Oryzias latipes: one gene and its partner. The protein of the gene in region 2 interacts with the protein of the main gene of each other region in a biochemical or structural test. Links are inferred from orthologs where the notes say so. Each region holds a gene or a part of one and is shown on either strand. Other genes may lie near its edges. The genes, in order: gas6 and axl.

Region 1 (3,820 bases), on a different chromosome or scaffold from region 2:
AAAGATCAAGCTCTATACTCTGGCATCCATTCAAACAGAAAAGTAACGAAGGAGCCCTTTTGGCATTCTCCTCTGACATTCTTTTATTTTGTGGGTTGCTCAGCACCGATAGATAAAGACGGGCTCCTATAGACCTCCCGGCTATGGCTCCACCTGACTCTCCAGCACTTTTTACATCCGTCTGCCGTTACAGAAACTTGTGGTGTGGGTGGAAAGACGTTTTTAGTTCAACTTTGGATCGACTGTGCATGAAACCACAGGGAATGAAGGTAGTGCCTCCTTTCTGTTGTGTGTAAAGCATTGAACAGTCACGTTATTTACAGACTCAGCATTTCACAGCACACTCATGGTCGTTCTCAGTAGCTTGTTTGGTAATGCAGTGCTCTGGCCCCGCCCTGTGCTTCGGCGGCCCTTCCATCCTCTTCAGGTTGATCGGTGTGGCAGCTTTAACCGTCTCCATGACTCAAAGAGCGGACGGTGGGGTGGGGCTTTGGTGACGGAATTGTCTGATAATCCACAGGTGAAAATGCATCGCTCTCTGCAAGGAGGTTGGTTTCAGTTTCCGTCAACAAGACGTGCTTGATCTCCTACAGCACTGCACCCATGTGGAATTATTGACCTGTTTGGGGGGGTCTGGACGTGTTCGGGCTTGTAGTTGTTTTGTAGGCATGAGGTTGTTTTTCTTAAGGTTTCAGGCAGACATTGAGTGCTTTGCAGCAAATGGGGAAATCCAAGACAGTGGCTTCACACGCTGCAGTCCACTTATACCTACAACTGTGTGCAAGGTCCAACACCACAACTCAGTGTGGGGCTATGGGGAAGGAGTCAGCATTTTAAGGGCATTTAAGTCCACCGTTAGTCCAACTCTTGTGTTTTTTTTTTCATTTTTCTCAGCGTTAGCACTTCAGGCTTGGAATATAAATCTAATCCAAGCAACACAAATCCCAAACCTGCTCTTCACCTCTTTATTTAAGCATATCGGTGTGGAGCAAAGCACTCCTCCCCTCATGGCTTACAAGGCTGCAAAAGTTGGGCAGTTAATCAAGAAGTCCAGGTGTCTTACTGATGATGGCGATAAGCTGCTGTTTGTCTGATGTGCGCCGCAACACTGAGAAAACTGGAACAAAAACCCTGCAAATACCTAGAAGCAGCACTTTCATCACAGTGTGAGGGTAGTAAGTGATGGTGTGCCAGGGCTTTAGCTGCACTGTTTTACTTTTTAAGCTAAAATCCAAAAACCCCCTCCTTTGTCAGAGCGTTTAAAGTTTTCTATTTTTTTTTAAACCATCCTCAGTTGCCTGGACAACCTTCTGGAACACAGAGCAGGTTCGTCACTGGTCAGAGCCCAGCAGGGGGCAGGAGTGAGAGCGGATGTCATTGTGTTTGTGGATGGCCTGGTCCAGGTCCAGAGAGCGTCCATTCACACTGACCTCCATGCAGCCGCTGTAGGGCGCCGACACGACCGTGGACACCAGAGGCACATCTGGGGAGGAGACAGGAACAGGACACTGCTGTCACGCCAGACCTCACATTACAGTGTTCCATTGTTTATTGTGGGGGTTATGTTCTAAAAACAACCTGCAATAGGTGAAATCCAAAAGTAGGATTATAGATGTTTTAAGGCTGTAAAATGCCTCACTACACACTTTATACATTTGTCTCAGACAGACAAGAACACGAATGAAACCTGATTTGCTGTGGCGACCCCTGAAGGAATACACCTAAAGGTGAATAACAACATTACAGAAAGAGAAAGATCTGCTCGCAGTCTAGGATTTATGCAACTCTGGCAAGCCGAACGCATTCTGTACAGGAGACACGGTACGGATGAGATTGATTAACAATGATCTCAGGCCAATCAGGACGCAGATTACACACTGTTGAAAAAGCAAAACATGCAAAATTGCACAAAAAAAAAAAAAATCTGTGAATTGAGACTGCAAAAGGTGAAGCGAGATAAAGTAAAGGACATAGATATGTACTACGTTCTACTTGGGTAACTTCTTATAATAATAAAGGGCAATTTTTACTTTTACTTTTTATTTGAGTAGATTTTAAAACTGTACTCGTATTTCAACAAAAATTCAAATGATGAACTAAGCAGCCTTGTTTAACTGGTGTCTGGATTTGTACGAATGCCTTTGATGGAAAGAGCTGGTCACCTGGGATGCCTCCGATAAAAGTGCTGGAATGTGAGAAGAGGTTAGTGGGAACTTCCACGTCTTCAGTCCTTCCAGCTTCGCCATCAACCAGAAGTGAGGTCTGGTTGCCTGAGATGGTCACTTGGATGTCGTGACGTTGGCCGTCACACAGGAGCGCAGGGGAGCTGGCAACGATCACGTTCCCCACAGAAACCAGAACAAACTGCAGACAGGCAGAAGATGAAGATCAAGGTGTGCAGAGACGTTCTGAAGACGAGTCAGCGATGATGTACTCACATCTCGCCATTCATCGGTTAAAGGGTTATAGTCTGCCAGAGCAATAGACAGAGGCACTTTGTCCTGGTGAACAAGGGCAAACAGAACGCCGATACCAGAGAGTGGGAGCAGGGTCAGCTGAACTGTCAGGTTCTGGGACTCTAAAGTGAAGCAAATAGGAAATCAGACGGTCACAAAAAGTAACATGAAAGAGGATAATGTTAATGAGGTGAACAGAAAGTTAGGATTCAACCATCTGCCTCAGGAAAGAAAACTGACAAATTTCTACAGGTCCTCTGGAAGCTTTGATTATTCACCAACCCGCGAACACCACAAACACACACCATAGGTGATGTTGAAGAGAGCGAAGCCGGCTCCAGGGTAAAATGCTCCGGGAACCTCAGTGCTGAAACACTGCATGTTGTCGTTGGACTGGATGGTTTCCTGTATGGAAGTGTCTTCACCCGTCAGCCAGCGCCAATCTTTCATGCAACCATCAAGGCGTGGATTCAGCTACACAATTAAGGAACGGGTATGAAAGTTCAAATATGAGTAGCTGACATCCGCTTTGGTGCATCTCTGGGAAAAGAAGAAGCCAAACAAACACCTGATTGACGAGGCGATCCTCTTTGAAGGGGACTCCTCCAACGGTCAGGTTGAGCTCGTGCATGCCTTTCTTCAGCGTGAACAGATCCCCGTTAACCGCGATCTTCATCACGGCCTCCCGGTCAATCTTGATGACGAGGCTCCGCCCCTGCTCCTCCACTGAGATCTGCGACAAGCAGACCCCTGTCAGTTGATCTGCACGGACATGGCAGCTCGTGACAATCCTGAAGGCACGCTCTGACCTTCCTCCACTGCCCGTCATTGACAACGGGCCCGCTGCTGGTGACTCTGCTGACCGCGCCGTACTTCAGCTGCAGCTCCAGCCTCCCACGATGCATTGCTACCACAATCCAGGAGCTGTTCAGGTGACCGCCTGCAAAGAAGATCACCCCCTCTCGATCGAAGGTGCGGAAGTCAAACTCTGCTGAAAAGCTAATAAGAAAAGAGGGATATGCATGAAAGAAAAAAAAAGTCAAGTCAACTTTATTTATCAAGCACTTTTTAAAAACAGCAGAGGCTGACCAAAAAAGGATAAAAGAAGCAAATCAGAGAAAACTATGCAAAAAAGAAGAAAATGAAAGACAGTTTTACCATTTTTGTTGAGGATATGCAGAACTGACCCACATAAAAATATATATCCAACATTCTCACCCGGTATGAACCCTGCGACGAAAACGAAGGCGAACCACCGGCACGCCGCTGAACATGCGGCCCAAATAGAGAGAACGCGGGTTTCTCTTTGGGGACTGCATCATGCAGCGAGTTATATTCTGAAGAAGAAATAAAAAAACTGTAAG
Region 2 (3,174 bases):
CCTCCTGCAGACTCACGTCGGACTCTGATGTTTTCAGGCTGTTCCCTTCTCCACCATGATCCACGGAGGAATGCACCCCAAGAAGACCTTCATCATCCGAGGCAGGGTGCCGTCTGGAGCGGACAGGTGCGTCTCTGTCACCTGCACGACGGCCGAGTCACAGCAGCTCTAACCGTCAGCTGTCGTCGTAGGATGGCCGTCAACTTCGTGGCGAGCGGGTCCGGGAACACGGCCCTCCATTTGAACCCCAGGGTGAAGGCGGGGGAGGTGGTTCGCAACAGCAGGATTGGGGGCGACTGGGGCAAAGAGGAGCGCCAGCTCAGCACCAACCCCTTCAGGGAGGGGCAGTTCTTTGACGTACGTGAGAGCGCCGCGGAGGTGAGTTCTGGTGCAGACGCGCCGTCCTTTTCAGTAAATCCTCCATCTCGCTGCCAGATGTCCATTCGCTGTGGAAACCAAAAGTTCAAGGTGTTTGTGAACGGAGAGCATCTGTTCGACTTCGCCCACCGGATGTCCTTCTACGAGATCAACATGCTGGAGATCCGCGGCGACGTGCAGATATTCTACGTCCAATTTTAGGACGTTCTCTGGACGCACTGACGTCATGTGAGAATACGATCTGTGCCGAGATACGACACGACTCGAATAAAAAGAAACCACCAAAATCGAGGAATCTCATTTATTTTTATTGTAAAATACTGTAGAAAGGTTTGTTTGCATACAAAGACAATAACTGTACAGTCTTCTCCAAGTACAAAACATCGGTAACAGGTGAAACATTCCAGACGTGTTTTTAATGCAAAATACTGGCTCTCTGAAGGCAGTTTGGAAGAAAACAGCACCAAAAGAAATCAACTTTAACCCTTGTGCTATCCTATGGGGTCAAGATGACCCCCCCCTTACATTGACGTGTTCTCCCTACCATGACAAAGGTGGATAAAGGTGGAAAGATTTCATGGACACCAGTGAAGATCACAAATCATTGAAGAAAAAAGGTTCAGAGCACTGTCTAGTGGGTCTAGATGACCCAACTCCCAATGTCAAAGTGCCTAGGACAGCACAAGGGTTACACAGCCGATGGTTTGAAGATCACGACTGTTGTGTTTGTGCTCAGATTACACCGAAAACAAAAACAGCGCCTCAAAAAAAACATTTTTTTCCCCAAAATATGTGCAGGAACTTGTTTTTAGGATTAAAAAAAAACTATGCAAAAGGTCTACAGATTCTCTATCCACAAAAATAAGTGCATATATGCAAAGATTTTACTGCTGGACTTCCCAAAGTCTTTTCTGTTCTCTGGCTTAAGGAATAGTTTGGAGGAGGGCTTCAGCAGAACAAAATCATCCAAAAATGTCCTTTAAAAAACTGAAAGATCCAAAAGTCTAAACACACAAAAACATTAGTGCAAAGTTGTAGAAAATGTCAAAAAGAAAAACAATAAAAAGGTGTAACAACACTGTGCTTGAGTCAAAAACAAAGCTGAAGAACCCGTCCTTCGTTTGGAGAATCCGTGCCGTCTCACAGACCACCCCCCCTGGACCGCACCTGTTTGGACCGGCTTAGCCTCAGCAGAACCGCAGCCTCTGGAGATCCGGAGCTTCCTGAGTTTGTCCGATCCCGTTTGTTCTTCAAGGATCTCAAAGGAGAACTTAGCAGTAAAACCCAGGTGGATCCGGACGTTTGAAAGCCTCGTCTGGAACATCAAATGTTCTCCCAGAAACCGTGGAGGCTCCTCCCACTGAAGTCTGAGATTTTATTGGTTAGTTTGCTGTTCAAAAATAACTTTTATGCTTTAAAAAAGTGAAACTAATTAGTCATTTTTCTTTTCAAAACTAATATTCAGGATTCGGGTTTTAAAAAATCTTTTGCTGCTCATCCTGAGGATGAGCCCGCCTCCTTTCCCAAGTAGGGGTGGGGTTTCTATCTGGGCATGCTCAATTGGTTCCGCAGAGGTTTGTTGTGTTTTTTGGGCGTGACCGCCCGGCTCCACGCCGGTGGACGGACGCCACCGATGGTCTGCAGCTGTCTGCGCTTGTCGTACCGACAGGAAGTTCAGTCTGACTCGTGAAAAGAGGTGGCGGTCCTTCCCGTGAAAAGCGCCATGTGTAAAACGTGGGGGCGCGCGTCCCAGCCTGCAGACGGCTGGGGGGAGCTCTCCCCGCCGGGACGGCACTCTTTGGCAGTGATAGGTTTGGGCAGCTCAGAGGAAGTCCTCTACTGCCAGGGCATCTTCCTGTCCCTGTCCTCCCGCAGCTCAAAGGGGGGGTCCGGGGTCAGGGTGGGGGTGGAGTCTCGGGACGGCTGCAGGGGCAGCGTAGCCGTGGACGACGACACCGGCATGTCCAGGCTGTCCAGGGAGTCCGAGAGGGGGCGGTTGGTCTCGTGCTGGGGGCAGAGGACGTAGCGGTTGGGGTGGTGGACCTCCACCGTGGTCACCGTGTCGCGGCCTTTCAGGCAGAAGGGGGGCAGTCCCCCAAGGGGGTCACGGCCACCCACGGCTCCCAGCTCCGTGGAGGACTCGTCCATGTTGACGTACAGAATCTCGTCGGGGTCCTGAGGATCCGGCAGGTCCTCCAGCGCCTTTTCCAGCTCGCAGCGCAGCGCCTCAAAGGAGGGGCGGTCCTTGGGGCTCAGCAGCCAGCAGGAGAACATGAGAGAATATCTGGAACGCCAACAACACAAATAATCACTCATGGTCTGAGAACATATGTCAATAAATAAATAAAACAGATCCATTTTTGGCCTGAAGCTGTCACAGCAGTTGTGGTTTTCGTCACCACTTACATCAAGTCCAGGCAGTCTGGCGGCTGTTTGAGGCGGTTTCCCTGCCTCAGATAGTCGTAAATCTCGCTGTTTTCCACACCGGGATACGGCGTCTGACCCCGTGTGGCGATTTCCCACATGGTGACCCCGAATGACCACTGAGACAGAGACACACAAACAGGTGAGAAGTTTTCTGGAAAGAAAAAAAACCCTCAGCTGGGGGTTTATCCGGGATTTGGAACAGGGAAGCATGTGGAGAATTTCCTGTGCATCATTCCTGAAGCATGTTCAGGATTAACAGCTGCTCCCTGCTGGTGTCTGCGGCACACGCACACACACACACACACACACACACACACACACACACACACACACACACACACACACACACACACACACACACACACACAC

The links.
Region 1: the proteins of axl (region 2) and gas6 form a complex in vitro, tested with the Homo sapiens proteins (2 studies listed by BioGRID and IntAct, with this or other methods). The link is inferred for Oryzias latipes from reciprocal best matches to the Homo sapiens genes AXL and GAS6.

Annotation. Positions count from the first base shown.
Region 1 is NC_019861.2:16,493,541-16,497,360, forward strand, and holds part of gas6 (growth arrest-specific protein 6), read right to left. Parts: intron 3,794-3,820; coding exon 3,675-3,793; intron 3,456-3,674; coding exon 3,266-3,455; intron 3,190-3,265; coding exon 3,025-3,189; intron 2,931-3,024; coding exon 2,762-2,930; intron 2,579-2,761; coding exon 2,439-2,578; intron 2,365-2,438; coding exon 2,163-2,364; intron 1,484-2,162; coding exon 1,332-1,483; 3' UTR 1-1,331. UniProt on the Homo sapiens protein: Ligand for tyrosine-protein kinase receptors AXL, TYRO3 and MER whose signaling is implicated in cell growth and survival, cell adhesion and cell migration.
Region 2 is NC_019871.2:3,186,489-3,189,662, forward strand, and holds the end of axl (tyrosine-protein kinase receptor UFO), read right to left. Parts: intron 2,922-3,174; coding exon 2,785-2,921; intron 2,663-2,784; coding exon 2,215-2,662; 3' UTR 666-2,214; downstream 1-665. Other genes in the region: galectin-4, read left to right, coding at 38-126, 192-579. UniProt on the Homo sapiens protein: Receptor tyrosine kinase that transduces signals from the extracellular matrix into the cytoplasm by binding growth factor GAS6 and which is thus regulating many physiological processes including cell survival, cell proliferation, migration and differentiation.